Linked DNA regions of Astyanax mexicanus. The protein of the gene in region 1 interacts with the protein of each later gene in a pairwise test. Links are inferred from orthologs where the notes say so. Each region holds a gene or a part of one and is shown in the gene's direction. Other genes may lie near its edges. The genes, in order: bcar1 and nphp1.

Region 1 (11,089 bases):
AGGCCCCCCCTTTCTTTTTTTGTCTGTTTTTGCCCTCTATATCTTCTCCTCTTCTTGCCTCACATGCCTTACTTTTTTCTTTCTTACTCTCCCGCAATTTTTCTCATTTCCTCCTTTTATTTTTTTTTATCTTTGTTCCCCCTTTTTTCTCTTTCTCTTTGCATTAGGCTCATTTTCTTTCATTGTGTTGGTCAGGCTGGGCATGGCCTTTAGTTCTGATTTCTGTTTGACTCATTCTTTTCCATAATTTGTTCTTTTTTTTCTTGTTCGTAAAGCAGCATCACAGCTGAAGAAACTGGAGGGGTAAAGCGTACAGAGTGCAGTCCCCCTCTCTGGCCATGGGGCACATGGGTCCTCCTTTTTTGCATGCAGTCTGAGTACAGTAGGTTAGACAGAGCAGGCACAGATCAATAATGCGAGCAGAGTAAAACCCTCACACTGGGATAGAGACTCCTGGCTTGTGGCAGTTTACACTGGAAAAAAGTGGTGTTTTGTTTGTTTGAGTTACATTAGATCTTTTGATATCAACACAGAAGTGTCTTTGAAACATATTAATAGTGATAGCTTTGATGAAATTTATTTATGTGGAAATTAGGGTAAAAATGCAACAGAATGCTCATGTTCTCTGTGTATAAAAGCAGCCTCATGGATCTGTAGGTAGTCATCTAGAATGCCTGATGTATATTTGGCACAAACTTCACATCCAGGCATGTGTAACTGTCTGTCACCAAGTGCAGGGCTTCAAATGAGGCCAGGGTCTTTACAAATAGACACCACTGTTGCGAGGATAATTATAAACAATCGCGGGAAAGTGAGCCAAAAATAACAGCAGGGTAACATGTTCCAAATGCCACTAACCTTCCAGCTCCAGCTCCTTCTGCTCTGGCCTCTGTCACAGTAAAGAGACCCCATTTGTTAATGCGTTGAGATGAACAAACTGTGCAGAAGTCAGTTAGCTGTAGTCTTCCAGCCCAAGGCTTTTTTTTATTTTGATTTCCCACCATGCAGCACTTACAGCAAAAAAATAGATAGATGGATAGATCAAGCAATTTTTAATCCCATGGTTGAATTTTCACATTGCAGTAGCCCCATGTACTTTATAATGTTCTTTTCTATAAAGTATAGATGCACAATGATATCGGAATTATATTTCAACGTCATACTTGCTGACATTTGTTGTATGACATACATGTACCAAGCATTGAAACATGAACGATTTAAAAAAAAAAACAGCAAAAATATGATTTCAAGTTTATCTACACTAGTGTATGTTGCCTCTACACAACAACTTCATTTAATTTTCTGAGATTCTGCTGTGTAAGATTTTAAAAATAAGCTGAAAATATTAAAATTTTCAGAAGCTCTGCATTATTTTAATGAAGTGAGGAAGAGGTTTCTGAGGCAGGAGCTGTTTGAACCCTTGTTCCAGACCCCTAGCACATTTATAAGCTAAAACTATTAAAACTAATTTCACGTTTCCCAAAGGTACAGCGTTCTTCCTAACATACAATGTACTGATTACAGCAAGGAGGTGAGGGATAATACAACTATTTGAAGGTCACAATTGAACCCCTGTCCTTCTGCCCCTGATTAAGTGTATAATTAAAAGCCATTTTCAGTGTTCAAGGCTGCTGCCGTCAGAAATCATCTTTGGGAAAAGATGCCTCTGGTGAGTGAAAGAGTCCATACACTACATCTGGTGAAATAACCATTATTCTGTTCTTCTTTCTTTTCTGGGGTCTTTTGGTTACAGTAATGTTCTAAAATCCAGTGCCTTAACCGTTAAACCATGTACTTCAGTTTTTTTTTTGCCCTCATAACTGCAGTTCTGCAATTCTCAGTGAAATAACAGCAATTTTATATATACCATCATGGAACCCTGTGGGACTCTTAACTGTTAGCAAATGTCTTATAGGCATTTATTCATTATGATTAAAGATCTAGGGTTCAGAAGGTTAATATTACTAAATAATAAAGATAATGCTGCCGTGGTAGGCCCTAAACAATTTTCTTAAGTCCTTGTTTTCTTACTGCACTAGATTTTTAGGGAAAGGGCAACTCGAACTTTTTATAAAGTAAAAAAAAAAAACTTTCGTTTAGTTGCCAGGAGCCAATGAGAAGGGTCTAATTTTTATTTAAAATGGCTGTAGTTCACACACAAGCAGCAATATCAATGTACAACCAAATGCTTAGACCCCCTTCAGCGTCAGACTGAGCATGTGCAGAGTATACTGGTCTGGTTTCAGCTAGGCTTCAACTACAATTTGTAAATTTTGCCAACACAGGTTATTTAGTCAGTTAGTGTGAATTAAGTTAGATGAGGCAATTGGTTTGTTGTACTTAATTTTTACTTTAAAATCACATTAAGAAGAAGAATGTAAAGTTTTTTTTATACACGTTGCACTGAATTAAAACTAAATCAGTCTTGTCCAATCGGAGGAGCACCACATCATCCAGCTAACAGAGAAATCTTTTTCTGTGAATTACTGGTACAGATGGTAAAAATGTCTAGTTAAATAAAGAACGACATTTTGGCTCTGAAAAACACTGGTTCTCCTGTCGATCATGCTGAACATTGCTCCCCTCTGCATGATCTTGTGATGGGAAGCATTATACAGCCGATCCTGACAAGCTGACATCATAACACTGTGAGAGCTTCATTAAAGTGAGTGCTCAAATTTTGACATCTACTACTACAAGCTGTCAGAATGACCTCGTCCAATTTACAGGAATTGTGTTTTCAGCCTGAAGACAAAAACAGATGACTGACGTCTGGAGCACCTAATCTGGGTTCTTCATGAGCTGAAATGTTGCAGTTAGTCAGATAACTTCATGCAAAGTCAGGCTTTATTAAATGGTCACAGAAAATGTTATTCATATTGAAGATCAGATCTCTCATACTCCAGTTCTGTTATGTATATATTTTAATCAAATAATAAACGTGTCCCATAGCTTACATAATAGTGTTTTGTCTTTGGTAATATTTGGTAGCATGATTTTGTATGGTTTTTTTTTTTTTTTTTGACAGAACACATTTCAAACCCCTTGCAAGGTTTATTAGTACAAAAGCATCCAATACTTGGAGCAGCTAGTGGTTTGTTGGCTGTGAGGTTTGACTGCATGTTAACATTTTCTTAGAAAGGGAAAAGAGATCAGATCAAAAGGTTTAGAGAAAAGACCACTGACTTGCACAAACCTGAAAAAGGATACAAAAAGATAGCAATGGCACTGAACGTTCTGACAGACACAGCTGATGCATATTTCACTAGTTCACTGGCTGCACCTTATGGTGGCAGAAAGAGGCAGAAAGAGGACATTATTACTGGCTGACACTAGACTCCTGAGGAGGCAGGTGGTCAAGAATCATTAAGTGACTGCAAAAGACTGTGGCAGCAAACACTGAGCTTTTAGTTTGCACATTGATCTCCATGACCCTATATACCTCTTCTGACCTAAGTCATTAGAAACTGGAAAATTTGATTCAGTATAGATAACTGTTATCAGTGTTGCCTCAGGCAATGGTTTCGCTGTGAGGTGTTTTTGGATGATGCTGTTCATGGATGATGGTTGGATGCAACTTGGACCTTTCAGGAAGTCTGACTCCAGTAGTTTGTAATTTATCACACCCTGTCCCTGATCAGCAGTCGTGTACAGTGGGGAGAACAAGTATTTGATACACTGCTGATTTTTCAGGTTTTCCCAATTGCAAAGCATGTGGAGGACTGAAATTATTATCATAGGTACTCTTCAACTGTGAGTGATGGAATCTAAAACAAAAATCCAGAAAAATACATTGTATGATTTTTAAATAATTAATTTCCATTTTATTGTGGGAAATAAGTATTTGATCATCTATCAATCAGAAAGAATTTTGGCTCTCACAGACATGTTACTTCTTCTTTAAGAAGCCCTCCTGTTCTCCACTCATTACCTGTATTAACTGCACCTGTTTGAACTCGTTACCTGTATAAAAGACACCTGTCCACACACTCAATCAGTCAGACTCCAGCATCTCCACAATGCCCAAGACCAGAGAGCTGTGTAAGGACATCAGGGATAAAATTGTAGACCTGCACAAGGCTGGGATGGGCTACAGGACAATAGGCAAGCAGCTTGGTGAGAAGGCAACAACTGTTGGTGCAATTATTAGAAAATGGAAGAAATGCAAAAATAACGGATAATCTCCCTCGGTCTGGGGCGCCATGCAAGATCTCACCTCGTGGAGCATCGATCTTGAGGAAGGTGAGGAATGAGCCCAGAATTACACGGCAGGACCTGGTCAATGACCTGAATAGAGCTGGGACCACAGTCTCAAAAAAACGATCAGTAACACTCTACGCCGTCAAGGATTAAAATCCTGCAGTGCACGCAAGGTGCCCTTCCTCAAGCCAAAGCCCGTCTGAAGTTTGCAAATGACCATCTGAATGATCCAGAGGAGGAATGGGAGAAGGTCATGTGGTCTGATGAGACAAAAATAGAACTTTTTGGTTTAAACTCCACTCGTCATGTTTGGAGGAAGAAGAATGATGAGTACAACCCCAAGAACACCATCCCAACCGTGAAGCATGGCGGTGGAAACATCATTCTTTGGGGATGCTTTTCTGCAAAGGGGACAGGACAACTGTGTGAAGGATGGATGGGGCCATGTATCGTGAGATTTTGGCCAACAACCTCCTTCCCTCAGTAAGAGCACTGAAGATGGGTCGTGGCTGGGTCTTCCAGCATGATAACGACCCAAAACACACAGCCAGGGCAACTAAAGAGTGGCTCCGTAGGAAACATTTTAAGGTCCTGGAGCGCCTAGCCAGTCTCCAGACCTGAATCCAATAGAAAATCTTTGGAGGGAGCTTAAAGTCTGTGTGGCCCAGCGACAGCCACGAAACCTGAAGGCTCTGGAGGAGATCTGTATGGAGGAGTGGGCCAAAATCCCTGCTGCAGTGTGTGCAAACCTTGTCAAGAACTACAGGAAACGTCTCATCTCTGTAATTGCAAACAAAGGTTTCTGTACCAAATATTAAGTTTCTTTTTCTGGTGTATCAAATACTTATTTCCCACAATAAAATGGAAATTAATTATTTAAAAATCATACAATGTATTTTCTGGATTTTTGTTTTAGATTCCATCACTCACAGTTGAAGAGTACCTATGATAAACATTACAGTCTTCCACATGCTTTGCAAGTGGGAAAACCTGAAAAATCAGCAGCGTATCAAATACTTGTTCTCCCGACTGTATAAACCACAATGACTTAAAAATTCATGATTACAAGACAACAGGTTGTGTAATGCGAGCAGTAGCCTTAAGCAGTCTGGTCACTTGAAAGTCAGTGTGTGTACATGGCATAAGCAGTGCTCTTATATTCTCTACACTGAGAACATGTTGTGAGTGAAAGGAACTGTGGTACTAAGGTGAATTCTAAATTTGTAACATTCTGAAACCCCATCATCAAACACGAATGAGCATGCTCTTCAATAGACATGCAATGACTAGTAAAGTTTATTGCAACTTCCTGCACAGTGATGAAGCATTGTTCAGTCCTTCCTGCACAGTTTGTTTCCTTTCAACTCAATGTTTTTTCATCACCTGACATTCGAAACTACTCTTAAAATGTTTGAAGACCAGTGTAGTTCACTTTACATGAAACAACTAGGGTGTCTAAATGCGTATTACACCCTAATACAACAAGGTGTAGACTATATACTATATACTAATACTATAAACTAATTCTAATATATGGTATGTATTTATTGGAGTTTGATATTTTAGGTGGCCTACAAGAATGATCAGGCTAAACAAGGTAGATACCATGACCAAGCCGATCTTCCACAGCAGGACCATTTAAACCAAGCTGGCCAACCAGCATAACCAGTATTATCAGCATGACCAGCATTACCAAATTGGTTGACCACCATAACCTGCATGACCAAGCTGGTGGTCCACAGCCAGCATGATCACCAAGACTTAGCTGGTTCATTAGCCTTGACCAGAATCATCAAGCTGGATGACTAGCATGACCAAGCCAAGTTGATAGGCATGACCAAAATAAAATGCAACATACACCATGCTTGTTAACCTGTTGCTTAACAATATATGATATATGGTCCAACAGGACCCATACAAACACTCAAAGGCTGACCAATTCCATGTATGCATTGTGCATATTTGTGTATACTCAACTTGATCTTGACTTGGACTTGACATATCCTGATCCTGGTCTTGGTCTTGATTTGAACTGGACTTGGCAGTTTTGACTACAATGATGTTATTCAATTAGTACACATTTGGGACAGACCCCTCATACTGTCAGTTCAGGTCACAAAGTGTTAGAATATTAACTTATTAAAATATTAGGACCATGCCCTCACTGTACTCTGTCAAACATGTGTTTAACTGTTTTCTAGCCACACTTTAGGACTGTGCTGTGTTGTGTTCATTAAAAATTTACTGGAAATGTTTAATATTTTATCCTGTGAGTTTAGCATCAGGTGGATTTCACTGTTTATTTATCGATATTTCCTATTGAGTTGTTAATCAGTACGGTTTCCTGCCTGGATGAAGGTGTGGATGAAACCACACCACTGCTTATAGCAAGAGACTGTCCCTTTAAACTGAAGTTGAGAGAGAGACACAGAGAGAGGGGATATAGAAAGAGAGAGATACTGAGAGAGAAAGAGTGAGAAACTAAGAGAGAGAGACAGAGATACTGAAAGAGGCTGATAGAGAGAAAGAGAGATATACTGAGAGCAAGAGATACTGAGAAAGACACTGAGAAAGAGAGAGATATTGAGAGACAGATACTGAAAGAGAGAGAGAGAGAGAGAGGGACTGGCTCTGGCTCTGCAGCGAGTTGACAGGCTCCAGCTCCGCACAGCCGCAGTACTCACGCGGTCAGTGAGTGTGCGCGTGAACTAGCGGTGAAGCTAGCGGTCAGTAACGGCAGCGCGCGGGTCTCTCGCTCGTGTTTTCGTGCGGGTGGTGAGGCTGTGGAAGGGAGGAAGGGACTGGAGCTCTGAACGCTTCCCGTTTGAGGTGGACTGCGCTCTGCTGGGTGGGAGAATATTCCTGACACTAACCTCTCAGCAGCTTCAGAGAGAGAGAGAGAGAGAGCGCCGCGGAGCCCCGGTTTATACAGCGGACAGCATGGAGTAGAGCTGCACTGACCCACCGACCGACCGACCGCGACACCAGCTCACACATTCCGCGGGGTTATCTCTCTCTCTGTATCTTCTCTGTGTGTGAGAGCGCTCTTAAACACAGCCAGAGCGGAGCAGCCTGGTCGGGTACAGTCTCCAGAGAGCTGCAGTGGACTGGGAAGGACCACAAGATGTCTGTACCGGTAAGAAATGATGATAAAATTAACTTATTGTTATTATTTATCTGTTAGAACAGTGAAGCTGCTCTGCTTGACTGTAGCTGAATTCTGAGAGCTGTTCCTCTGACTTTCTCCAGCACCTTACTAACAAACAGCTTCAGCTTCACAGTCCCCACAGACTCTACCTGCTGTATTTACATAGATATCAGCCTACTGGACTACTGCTCTTATTATAATACATACTGTGTTATTATATTACTGTACTGAATTCTATACAGTACACTTAAACAAGTAATTCTAGAATTGATTGTACATTTCACATTTCCCACATATCTCATTTGTATGGTATTTTTACTTTTTTGACCAGTTCTTAAAAATATAAGCCAGTACCTAGCTGGCATTTTAACGATGAAATGCCAGTTTATGGTTGAACGTTTTATTTGGTGTTGATTTTAAAAAGTGAGTCAACATTGATATTGCAACGTTGTTTCAGCGTTGTACGTTTAAACTTTACTAAACCCTAGCTCACTAAAACTAAAAAAAATCACATGATTAACAAAGTGTTAACCATAAACCATCACTACCAATCTGATTCAACATCTGATCTCAAAAACACAATACAAATAGAATGATGAAGGTATGATGAAGAATTGGTGCCCAAATAAAAATGCAATCACAGCAAATTGAAATTAAACCACTTTTTCATCCCTCCATTCAACCGTTTTTTTAAATTGTACACAGAAAAGGCAGAAAGTTGAAAAAATTATGTTGATTTACTGTTAAAATGTTAAAGTTTTCACAATTATTTAACACTAAATGTTGTTTCAACGTTGTTCCAACGTTGAAACAACAACAGACATTACTTCAAACATATTTCAACCACATTTCAACACATTGAAGGTCCCTTGTGTGCCAGCTGGGTAATAACGTTCAGGTTACACTATAAATAATGCTTGAGTTTTCTTTTTACCACAATTTATACACAACCCACTGTCTTCCTATTGATATGTTTGTACTAGGTCTGCGCAATATATAATTTCTGTACAGATAACGCAATGTACACATGCAATAGTCACACCACAGGACGTGCAATGATTTCTGCACTGTCAAATTTAAAAAGAAAAAAAAAAAACATGACCAAAATGTAATGCAACATACACCCTGCATGTCAATCTGTTGCTTACCCAGTGCCCATATACACACACTCAAAGGCTGACCAGTTCCATGTATGCGTTGTGAATATGTGTACCGGTATACCCAGCTTGGTCTTGACTTGGACTTGACATGTCCTGGTCTTGGTTTTGACTCGGACTCGACTCTGGTGGTTCTGACTACAATGCTGTTATTCAATTAGTACACATTTGGGACAGACCCCTCATACTGTTAGTTCAGGTCACAGAGTGTTAGAATAGTAATTGATTAAAATATTATGACCACGCCCACACTGTTCACTATCAGACAAGTGTGTGTTTAACTTTTTTCAGTAATAATAGCTACTATTTACATTCAGTTTGCATTATTATTAATTATTATAACGGATTGTTAAAAAGAATAAATACCAGTACATCAACATTGATCTAATATATTCAGGTGAATATATTACCTGCATTTTAGCAAAATACATTTTTTAAATGTTTTTGCTGATACAAAGAAAAAATCATACTATTCTAGTTGTACATGACAATATCTAACAGATTGATGATTATATATACCCAATATCATTTGTTTTACTCTAACTAATGATACACATATTTCATTAATAACATTTACATGCTGGTTGATTTGCTTTAGGTGAAAATTCCTGTGTTTCTTAAAATTAAAATATACATCACAGAACAACTAAATATGACAGTTTTTAGTAAACAATACAATCCTGTGTTTAGACGTGCTTTGTGAAATCAGTTTGGTGTTATGGCACGAAATTGTGGAAAATGTCAATTATTCATATTGACGACTCAATAAGATAACGATATTAATGATTTAATTTTTGAATGGGCCAAATAGGCTGTTCCATGAACATGGCGTGTCTGTGATTCCCATATCAGGCAGCTCAGACCTGTAGGGAGTTGTGTTATCTCTCATCTGCTGTGGAAACTGGCCTGGGTGTTGTTATGCTGCAAACTGGCTGATACCAGCTGGAGAGTACGGTACGAGATTGGATTTCCAGAGCTATTACTCTGCGTATACAGTACCAACCCCCATAAATAAATCACTGTACTGACAACAGTAGAGGGAAAAGCCAAATCCTCATTCAGTGTTCTGTCCAGCCCGGAGACAAACAAATACATAATTGGCAGAAAGAGGCTCATTGGTTGTATATGCCAAATATGAGCTCGTTTGTTTGTCACAAAGAGGTGCTTTTTAAATTATGACTACATTCACTGAGCCACTGGGTTTTACAACAAACATTTGAAATAGTTAACATTAACAATGAGCTCTCAGGTGCTGACATTCATTATTCGTTTTAATACATGTGTGGAATAACTTATGGTTACACTGTGTAAACTCTATATGTAGAAACTAATCATAGAATAGTGTGGTTATAATACTTTTTACAGTGCATTCTGTTTTTTTTTTTTACATTTTGGTGATACTGTGTGTGATATAGTGTTGACTGTCTAGATTTTGCTTGTTATAAAAACTCTTTAGAATACATACTGGTTCTGCACTGAGTACATCATGATTATACTTTGTAGACTATAGTCACACAGTCTTACATATTCTTAAATATGGACTATTTAAGATTGGAATACTTGAATCTTGAATATGTAGATAACCCCATTCCGGCAGCTGGTCCCAGTCTGCACCAGTTGGCCACTGTGCAGCATTAAGGCTGCGTTTTACTCAAGCCGTGTGAGATTTAGTGAGTGGCCCTCAGGGACACAAAACTTTAGAAGCTTGCCAATTACAGAAATAGCACTCTGCCTGCAGAGAGACAGAGCAAGGCAACATGCCTTATTTTGTTTCCTGCCCGTTTTCCGGAGAATCCCACCTCCTGCTTACAGGCAGTAAAATGTTAGTGAGGATGACCTGCTAGCCAGTCAGAGCACAGGTGGGTGGGTCCTCTCTAAATACAGGTGGGGGGAAACAGACTGCGGTGTCCCTTGGGGCAGAGAGGGGCTAATTCGGGTCCTGTCTGTTTAAGTAGCAACCAATATAAATGCTGCAGAGGTTTGTGGAGTGCTGTGTAGAAGTAATGTGGAAGTATAACCTGGTTCTCTGGTGTTCACCACTTCAGGCTATGTGCTTGGGAAGATATATCAGCCTATATCTTTTACATTCCATTTGTTCATTGTGGAATCTTCTGTGTGGTGAAAACACAGCTCTGTGCATGTGCTAGCTTGATTGAGTTGCAATAACATGCTTTTTGCGTCAAGATTGCATCTTACTACCATTTGGCCAGATGCCTTTCATATCTTGTAAATGTGTGAGCAAGTGGAAAACTGCAGCAAAAACATCAACGAAACATCTGTATTCTCCATCTCCTGTTGGAACATCTCAATGTAGTCTGATTGATTGGAACATACTCTGATCACATTGGGTTCTGGTTGGGTGTACACCTGGAGTTTAGTGAAAATGTATATTGCTGCAATGTGTAAACCACCTATAATTGTATTTCAATCATAACACTCAAACACTGAATATCCTTTTGTGCAAAGAAAATGGAAATTGCTATGGAATTTGTAGTGTAAAAAACAGTAAATATGAATAGCAAAAATTATATTGGCATGTCCACAAGTTCAGTCCCTTTCCTTAGCCAAACTGGGATTATAAATA
Region 2 (10,687 bases), on another chromosome or scaffold:
ACTCCAAAAAAATCAGAATAAACGTTTTTGAAACCACTGATTTCTAAGCAAGTATATTAAGACATATGTACAATCATACACAACTTTTGTGAGTATCCCGAAATGTGATCAACAAATCCCCCGCATTGTCTAACATCACACTGTGCAACATGAAAAATGGTGGCTGCAAGGTTTGTTCACACCTGCTTCTTGGGGAAACTGCAGAGTAGTCATTTTGAAATGAGTAATAATAAAATAATATTCACAAACAACCATTAACAGTGGCTGCACTGTTAAAAATTAAAAAAATATTTTTACCATGCAGTACTGTTTCTGTTGTTCTTAGCCATGTAAAAAGGTTAAAGCCACCTCAACTTGGGAACTCAGGTATCAGAATATTCCCACTAGAAATGATCTTACATTATTACATTACACAACACTTAAACATCACATGAATGCAGTCTTAATGAGATATAATCGTGATCAATTTTAGCCCATAAGAACCCAGACCCAGTTGTGAATATTGATGCAAAAAATAATAAACAATGTGCAATTAAATATTTTTGTTCTTTTACTTATATGAAACAACTATTTTCATTCTTACTTATAACCTATATATAACCTAGTTAACTAAATAGTAGTATTATTTTTTTCGCGATTGTGATGTTGCGTTTGAACCTTAAGGCTTTCTGTAGTCCCCCTGATCACGTGGCCCTTTATAGGACGCATCCCAAACGGCTTCTTGCTCCCTATCTAGAACACTAAAACGCGAAATGAAATCTCTAAAAGGCATCTCGAGACTCTTTAGTGCACTACACGTCAGTGCAGAAGGCGTTTGAGACTCGCCCACAGCTAGACGCCCTCTCTCAGGCTGTTCGCTGCAGCGCGCTGGGGAGCAGCTGGAGATATTTGGAGTGCCGCTGCGGAGGTGAACATGGCCGACGTGTCGGAGAGGACGTTACAGGTCGCTATCCTGGTCTCGTTTGCCACGGGCTTCGTCGCGGGCTGGCAGGCCAACAGGATGCGCAGGAGGTTCCTGGACTGGCGGAAGAAACGGCTCCAGGACAAGCTGGCGGAGACGCAGAAGAAGCTGGACCTGTCGTGACCTGCGGGGTCAGGTCTGATAACTGCCGGCCTGGTGAGAGCTGGGCTGTGTCCCATTAAGACCCAGAGTTCTAAACTAAAAACAACAAAACTGTCCATAAATGTTAGTGAATAAGCTGTTATGGGTTTTAGATTTACACTCTGTACAGTTGTCACTGTTTACTGTAGGCCTGGGTTCACAGTGTTTGAGGTGTCTCACGATACGATATTATCACAATACATTGTTCACGATACTGTTTTCAATTCTCTACGGCACTTTGCGGCAGTAACTTAAGTAAGTCTTAGGGCCTTTAAAGCTCTTATGTTTCTAAAAAGCTCAACGTCTAACTCCACGTATTCATAATGTCTCACGAACGAAAAAAAAATACACTATATCAAGATATTAATATTTTTCTCCCACCCCTAAAATTTGACATTTTTAAAACTTTGTTTATCGAGTTTTTAAAGTACTTGGCATTTATATAAGTATATAAGTATACTCACAACTTGCACAGTATAAATGCATAACCATACATCAAGATTTAGTAATGAAGTAATAGGCAAATAGGCCAGTACAAAGGCCCAAATATTGAAAAGGCTAACATGGAAATCAAAAACGGAAAGAAGAAGGGAGGAAAAAAAAGGTTCAACTAAACCAAAAACTTGTTTCCTTAACAAGTGCCAAATTTCTTCTCCACCCATTAACTTCCTATCATCCCAACATGCATCCAGTCTCCTATATTAAAAACAAAACCCAGTGAAATTAGATTTTAACACTTGCAATATATGTATCGTATTAACAGCCAATTAACAGCCCTGTTGTTTATTATTTAAATAAATATTTGATGCCACATATTGATACAAGACAATACAATATGATCGAAACAATACAACATTATATTGTGCCCCTAATAATTATATATAACTGAATTGGGGCTGCAGAGTATATTGTATAGTGCAATGTTAATGTAACATGCCTTATACAAAATGCCTTATACAAAATGAAATTCATACCAAAGAATGATTTTAAATCATTGTTTTTTTGTTGGTGCATGTGCTAGCATATTAAAAATGTTCAGTGTTCAATACATATTTTTGTTTTGTGGTTTTACCACACTATCAAATTTTATTACTTTTTTAAGTAACAAAACCTGAGAAAAATGTTTTGTTTAATAAACTAGTTCAGTAATTACCCTCAAATAGTTAAAACAGTCACTCAAGAGGAATTCAGACTCTACATTTTTATATTTCTACTGTCCAATGAAAACCATGCATCTCCATTTCTATCCATTTTAGCTGCTCAGAATAAATCTTTCAGGAAGAATATATCAGTATAAATGCTCTAAAATGTAAGACTACTGGGAAAAATCTCTTATTTTCATTTAAATTTCTTTCATTTCATTTCATTTCCTTCCATGTAAAGTCCTCATTTTGGCTTAAAGCTACTGTCATAGGCTACATGGAATTGAGAATAACTGGTCACTGCCAGCTCACCCATACCCTTTAATGCAATAGAAGACCCAATTAAGGTCATTTTCACTTCACTAAAATATGATCTTAAATTTTGTCCTTTAGGCCGCATGAAATCAATGGTGTCCTTGCCCTGCTGAGACCCCCTTCGACCCCTCTGACCCCTTTGATGGACTCAACTCTGGATAAGAAGTCACCTTCAGCTGTTCTGCCAATCTTCTGTTCCCTCCTGAGACCTTTAAACACTATGCACACACTGCAGTGTTGCATTGCAGTGCAGTTCTCAAAAACATATTTTTTATGGGGATAAATGTTTTATTTTGTTGTTTTTTAATAACAAGTTGTTTACAAGGTATTATTCTAAGCCATAATATTGCTGTTAATAAGCTTGTACCATCATGTTGGAATAAAATAAACTATTTTGTTACTTTAAATGTATGCTATTGTATTAACTTGTCCACAAGAAACGCTGTATTCCTGAAGCACTGCAAAAATTATAAGATGTTTTTTGTTGTTAAACTGTAGTTTGATTTTTTTTTTTTGTCAATATTACAAAAAAAAAAATCTGTTTTTCTGTTTTTTATAGATTGTGTACTGTCTTCCAGAATCTGCTATTGATTAATTGAATCCATTCTCCCATCTACCAGAATCTAAACACCAGCCAGTGTGTTCATGGCAAATCAATGTGAAATGATCAGAGTTGCAATGAGGCCTGATGGTGGGTGCTAGATGGTTGGGACATCCCTTAATCCATAGTGTCACATGTGGATTATCAATGCAGTTTGTCATAGGACAGAGGTTGCTAACTTGGAGGTCATAACCCTCAAGAAGGTCCTGTCATAGTCCCTGGGACCACAAGAAAAAAAAAGAACATTGGGTACAAAACCTCATTATTTCAGTTTTTTTTAGTATATTAAAGAAGAAACTGGTTTTAATTAATTTTCCATTCCTGTTTTCATGTCTGTTCCCAAAATATACTTTTCTTGATTCAATTTTATTTTTGCATATCGTATCAAAAATCAGATGGTATAATCAAATGTATTTTTTCCTGAAATTAAGATTGTAATGGGCAGAAAAAAAGTTTTACACTGAGTCTTCATGTTCTAATTTAGCCTGATATGGTCACTAAATAACTGATTAATGTTACACTGACCCTGGTTGACCAGCATGACCAGAGCCAAATGCAACACATTCTTATTCAAGTCAAGAGCTGGCTAACCAACAAGCTTACCAGTATGGGGGTATGTTATGCATTACCAGTTTTTAAACCACCTTGGCCATTAAAGGCATCTACCAGCACAAGCTGCTCTTCAGGTGGGGTTTTTCAGCAGGAGAAAGTGCAGCTGTTTTATCTGCTGAATCGGTCAATTAAGGCTGCCATCTAGTGGCTGAGAGGAGCAACTGCTTCCTCATAGTATACATAGTATAGCATGGTATCTAATAATGACTTATTATCTTATAATTAGATATATAATTAGACTTAGTAACTCGATATTATGACTTAGCATTTTATAATTATGACTTAATATCTCGTAATAATGACAGTATCTCGTTATAATGGCTCTGCATCTCATCCGTGTGACTTAGTACCTCAATATTATGACTTAGCATTTCATAATTAGACTTAATATCTCGTAATAATGACAGTATCTCGTTATAATGGCTCTGCATTTCATAAATATGGTTTAGTACCTCAGTAATGACTTACCACTTTATAATTCTAACATAGTATCTCATAATAATGGCTTAGTATCTCATAATAATAAATTAGTACCTAATAATTTTGACTTAGTAAATCATAATTTCATCTTGGCATCTAATAACAACTAAACGTTTTACTTCTTACTGACATGGATAAATTATATGTGCTCTTCTACGAGTCTTTAATGTTTTTGTAAGATTTATCATTGTAGCTTACCATAATGTAAAAAAGTTGAGTTTACGACATATTAAAAAATCGCCTGTGCGCATTTCTTTTTATAGCTCATGAATATGTATGAGCTTTCGACCAATCAGGGATGGCCATGCCTGTTCCTTAGGCAACTATTTATTTACACACCTCTAACTTAAAAAGCACTCACACAACAAGCTATAAACCACACGATAAGCCTAATACTTTTAGGACTGGCAGGAGGTGCATTGCAATACCAACCTACCTCACTGTAACTTCTTTTAAACGCCTATTACAGTAAAATCAAGATTTTACTACTTTAATAGTTCCCAATGAGTAACATAGCTTAATCATAATAAAGAATAATGATGAATAAATATATTAAGAAATACATTTAAAATATTTAAAATATATTTTGTTGATGTTATGTAAAAAATCTAAAAAAAAAAAATTATTATAAATTAAAATGCTCTAACTTATTTTTATTTTTCAGTAACATTCAACATTGTCTTAGCAACCCCTACGCTATTGTTGACCAAGTGATTTTATTATTTTAATAATGAGTGAACTTAGTACTGTATGTGTGCATATATTTCAGTAAGTTAACTACTTTTTTATTTAGTTTTACCTTTCATTTGCACACTTTTTTGTTCCTTATCTGTAAATTGTTCCTCCTAGCTCGTATATATATATATATATATATATATATATATATATATATATATATATATATTCATTCGCACATCAATTTAAACTTTTTAGCACTTTTTTAGCGCAAATAAATATACACTTGAATCAATACAGGCCTCAAATATTTTTAATGAATCGGTTCAATGAATCAAACCACCATCGATTGAACATTTTAATTACTGAAATATTCCTCTGTTGCTATTAATTAATGAAGACTGAATGATAAGTTGTTAATTTATTTATTATGAATCACACCCTGTTACAATTATTTATAAACATTTCTCCAAAACCACAACGAAGATTCGATTAAAAAAAAGAATCGGTTCAAATGATCCGAAGAGTTGGCCATCACTCTTAGCAACCATCTGCGGCGTCCTCCACAGAGCGGTGTGGGATTCCTGTGTTAAAGTAAATCAGCGCTGATTTAACGAGGTTTTAACCGGTTATGGGACTAATTTTGACTGGAGGTTTTGTAGGAAGAGTGGAATAATATGGCTCCGAGAAAGAAAGGTCCTCTGCAAACGGTGCAAAAGGAAACAGACGACATTAAAAAACGGGTTTGTATCAGGTCCTTTCATAGAGAGATAGAGAGAGAGAGAGAGAGAGAGAGAGAGAGAGAGAGAGAGACCCCGCTGATGTGGTGCCGTGTTTTGTACAACGGAGAAATCCTACACCCCCTGGTTTTGATTGATTGCTTCTGAGGACCAATGCTGTAGTTCCCGTCATTGCCTGTTTATTTTAGGACGTGTTTTCTATAGATTTAATTGACCTTATTTTTACATATAAGTAAATATATATGTAGGAGCACAGTGGCGTGTCATCTGACTCATTTTATTGTGTGTATTGTACTTTACTCTGGTTTAGTTTTACCCAGGCGTTTTTAAAATCAGGCAGCCAATATAGCTCATAAATGGGTCCTTGAGATGCAGGGTATGCCAAAAAAGCACAAAATGGCACAACATCAGTTATGTTAAGCAGATTTTCCGAACGTTTTTTTTTACGTTTCAGTTGTTTATTGGGTTCAGTATATGTACATAAAGGAAAGAGTTTATCCGTTCATTACCCAGATAGACAGCAGAAAGACGTTGAAACAATGTTGAAGTTTGTGCACATCGATTTTTACATTGATTTAGCACTGATTCAACGTCAGGGTTTAAAATGTATTGGTAGTATTTCAATTTTGTTAAATGAAATATGTAAATATATGTTTGTATTTTATTGTTATAGCTTGTACTATGTTTTTGCGGTGTAGACAACTACTATTTACTACGATTTTAACAACAATAATAACAACAACAACAACAATAATAGTATTATTGTATCAATATTTATCATTCAGTGAAATCAGTTTTTAATGCTGTGGGCTGTTTATTGGTTTTACCTGTGCTGTAGGTCGACGCTTTGGTGCGGGATGTGAACAGACTGGGTGTGTCTGAGGGAACAGAGTCACTACAGAGGTACAGAGAGTTGGATTTGAGTTGGATTCTCTCTTTATTATTCTTTATCAAACATATTAGTTGAACTTTTTAAGACTTGCTACTGATTTTTACTTTGGGTTGATTCCTCTTTACAGGTGTTCAGAGCTGCAGAACACAGTGACTGCGACTTTGGAGAGGCTCAAGAAGTTAACGAAAGTAATATTTCTCTATATATTTGATGCACTTTAAAACAAAAAGGCGTATGACTGGAGTAAATGACTAAAATAAGTATGAGTGATGGTGTCTCTTTGTTTTTTTGTCACTCTCTTTTTCTGTCGCTCTGGGTTCAGGCGGAGGAGTCAGCTCCAATAGGGAACTATGAGCAGCTTAAAAGAGATGAAGAGGAACGTCTCAGGGCTCAACAGGACCGACTGAAAGCTCTGGCACAGAAGCTGCAGCCTGAGGACAAGTACAGTATAGAATTCTTTATTAAATTCCAACACAAACAGTGGAGACCTCCTAGAAGAATCAGGGTAAAAAAAAAAACAAGGTCAATAACGAGAGAGTAAACATAGGCAAGGAATAAACACATTGTAAAGTGGTAGACCAACAAAACTTAGCTACTTCTTAGAAAACGAAATAGTCTCTCTCTGTATATTACAATACTAATGATGGAATAAGGATCCAGTTTGTTCACAGCCTCTGTAATTCACTCCCAGCTCAACGGAGGGTGAGGAGGACAGTGCTGAAGAAGACAGCGAGGAGGAGGATGAAAGCCAGGAAGAAGATGAGGAAGATGATGTTCACAATGATAAAACCAAAGAAGATGCTGCTGACGATGAAGTTGATGAAACTGCACAAAACTACACAGCTAGAAAGGGCATTAGAACCTATGTGGCTCTTAGTGACTTCACAGGAGAGGAGGAGGGGGACCTTACTGTACAGGTAATTAAAAATACACACATTTGCTCATATTTTTCAACATTCCTCATACCAAATTTTCATAAACATGAAAGTATGCTTTTAATACTATGATGTTTTTTTTTATTTAAACCTTTGAAAAATGTGGACTTGCTTACACTGTCACCAATGTACTGAATACATTACATTGAATCATAACCCCTAGATTGTGATATGTAGTCTATCGTTGAGATCTTGCCAATAAACAGACCTAATGTCGTATGGTTTAAAAATTCGTCTCAGATCACCTCCTGAAGGGGTTTGAGCGACTGGACTTGGTGTTGTATCTGTTTGAACTGTTATGGGTGTGTTTTTACTTGAGTTTTTCAATGTGGCTTGGTCTTTCCAGATATAATCCTGATACATAAGAGTTCCAAAATGACAAAGTATAAATGGGGTCACTTAGGTCCAGTGTTGGGCACGTTACTTTGAAAAAGTAATTAGTTATAGTTACTAGTTACTTCTCCAAAAAAGTAACTGAGTTACTAACGGAGTTACTCCACTATAAAAGTAACTAGTTACCAGTAAAAGTAACTATTGCGTTACTTCGCCCTGTAAAAATAAATAAATAAAGAATAAATAAAGAAAATAAATGATGTAATTACTATTATTATTAGAAAAATAACAAACAAAAATAAACCCAAAATGTTGACAAAAATATAGTCTAACGAATAAAAAAAAATAAGAAACGAAAAACTCCACAGGACCAAAGAAAATTACTAAGACATGTAATACTGAAAAAAAACGGAAAAAACAAGTACACGTCTGGGGATAAAAATTAAACAAACCAAACCACACTCAAAGAAATAAATGTATATATAAACAAAACAAAAGAATGGACAAAAACAACAATCCGTTAAAAAAACTCATTTAAATCCATTAAAAAACTCATTTAAAACAATCACAGGCTTTTTGCGCAGAATAATAAAAGTTTCGGTTAGTTTCAGTTTCAAATCATGAAAACAGCTCACCAAAACCTCAACCTATCCTTTATATTTGACAATATTTGATTAACTTACAGGTCCTTACTTATTTTTATTTAACTGAACTGAGTTGTAAATTATTTATAGCCTCGCGCTGAATTCAGCTCTGTGCTGCGAAAGAGAGAGAGAGAGAGAGAGGCGCAGCGCATTTTGCCTGATTTCTCTTTATTAATTAACAGTACATTTGTTGGCTTTAGTAAGTTTAATAACATTAATTTTAGTATACTTGTCAGATCTTATTTATAAAAACTTTTTTTAGAAGACAGAGGTTATTCTGCGCGCAATGCCGCGCCGCTGCGCCAAGCACCACTTTGCGTGCCTGACATTTCAGAGCGCTGGACGAGATTTTAATTCATGAATTAATATATTTAATATTTTAATAAATTTGCCCTGGTGATAAGAAACGAATGCTAACATATAGCGTTATATTTCTGTGTATTTCAAATGTTTTAAGTTTTATATAATTGACGGGCAGCACCAGCGCCAGATTGACAATGTGCTTTGTTTTTCAGATATAAAAGTGAAATTCAGTTAAATAATAGCAAAGTTAACTAAAATAAATTTATGTTCAGTCAAAGTTATTTTCTCTTTTAATTTTCCATTTCAAAACTCCAGCATTTGAGTGAGAATAAGCATCTGTTGAAATTTTTAAACAGCAGAATGCCTAGTTACAGTTATTTAGTCTGTGTACTAAACATAAATATAAATCCTTATAACTGACAGAAATAAATATAACTAATAATAATTTATAGTTACAGTGCAGATTTTTAAGTATATATATTTTTTCATAGTTGATTGCTGAAGGCTCTGGGTGTGGTTTATTTTTATGTGGTAAAGATGTGATGGTATGGAGTATTTTGGAGCGCAGGGTGAGCAATCGCGCTAAGCTTTTTTCCGCCGCCAAGATAAAAACACGCCAGAAATTTACCTCAACACACATCATTTCCAGACCACCACGCCCATCGGTGTTAATATATTCCAAAGTCCAACGCTATTTTAAGGACGCGTGCAAGGCCTAAAAATAGACTGTTGACGGTGGCAAAGCGCCACGCTACACGCCTTGTGCGGGGTGTATGATAGGGCTCTTTGTCTGTATGCGCAAAGTTAAAAAAAAGTTCATTCAGCTGCTAAAGTAACGTGCAGTAACGGAGTGTCGAAAATGGTAACGGCGTTATAGTTACAGTCAGAGTAATTAGTTAGATTACTCGTTACTGAAAAAAGTAACGGCGTTAGTAACGCCGTTTATTTTAACGCCGTTACTCCCAACACTGCTTAGGTCAGGTACTGATGTTGGTTGATTAGCTCTGAATGTATTGAATCAGGCTTCTTTTCCCGTGAGAACACCGTTCCAATGCTATAAAGGGTTACCCAAGCTGCATTTACAAGAAAAAGTAGGAGAACTCTTTGTGATTACTTGGATTTATGCATAAATTGGTCATTAAATATATTACGATCTTTATCTATAGCACAACAATAGACAAACACAGTCTGCTTAAACTAATACCATAAAACTGTATGTTTGCATGTTTTTACTAAACACTACATGTTAAGATTCACAGTGCAGGGTGTAAAAAGTATGTGAAACTTTTTTTGGATTTAATAACTGGTTGACCCCTACTTTGGCAGCAATGCACAACAGTCAGGAGGAATTTTGGACCATTTCTCCTTACAAAACTGGTGTATCTGGTGTGAATCATGTGCTCTCTTGAGGTCATGATGCCACAGCATCTCAATTGAGTCGAGGAGGTCAGGACTCTCCAGAAAGCGCTTTGTTTATTGTCTTCTGTTGAAGCCACTCGGTTGTTGATTTACTTCTATGTTTTGGGTCGTTGTCCTGTTGCATAATCCATCCTCTGTTGAGCTTCATTTGGCGGACAGACGGTCTTAAGTTTTCCTGCAGAATGTCTTGATTATCTTGAGAAATACATTTTTTCGTTCATGACGGCAATCCGCCCAGGCCCTGAGGCAGCAAAGCAAAGCAGCCCCAAACCATGATGCCCCCTCCACCATGTTTCGTTATCTTAGATGAAGATCAGAACACATTTAATGACCAACTTATGCAGAAATCCAAGTAATTCACATCCAAGGGTTCACATACTTTTTCTTGCAACAGTATAAGTCATAAATTAGCAACAAGTACGTCTGTAAAGGTTATTTTTTAAACTATTTTAAATGTTCATCACACTCCCATCTCTACTGAGATTATTGATGGA

The links.
Region 2: the proteins of bcar1 (region 1) and nphp1 interact in a two-hybrid assay, tested with the Homo sapiens proteins (2 studies listed by BioGRID). The link is inferred for Astyanax mexicanus from reciprocal best matches to the Homo sapiens genes BCAR1 and NPHP1.

What each region holds. Positions count from the first base shown.
Region 1 is NC_064416.1:26,067,319-26,078,407, forward strand, and holds the start of bcar1 (breast cancer anti-estrogen resistance protein 1), read left to right. Parts: upstream 1-6,752; 5' UTR 6,753-7,324; coding exon 7,325-7,336; intron 7,337-11,089. UniProt on the Homo sapiens protein: Docking protein which plays a central coordinating role for tyrosine kinase-based signaling related to cell adhesion. Implicated in induction of cell migration and cell branching. Involved in the BCAR3-mediated inhibition of TGFB signaling.
Region 2 is NC_064421.1:42,785,567-42,796,253, forward strand, and holds the start of nphp1 (nephrocystin-1), read left to right. Parts: upstream 1-5,454; 5' UTR 5,455-5,604; coding exon 5,605-5,670; intron 5,671-6,505; coding exon 6,506-6,570; intron 6,571-6,686; coding exon 6,687-6,747; intron 6,748-6,881; coding exon 6,882-7,000; intron 7,001-7,250; coding exon 7,251-7,476; intron 7,477-10,687. Other genes in the region: mitoregulin, read left to right, coding at 914-1,084. UniProt on the Homo sapiens protein: Together with BCAR1 it may play a role in the control of epithelial cell polarity. Involved in the organization of apical junctions in kidney cells together with NPHP4 and RPGRIP1L/NPHP8. Does not seem to be strictly required for ciliogenesis.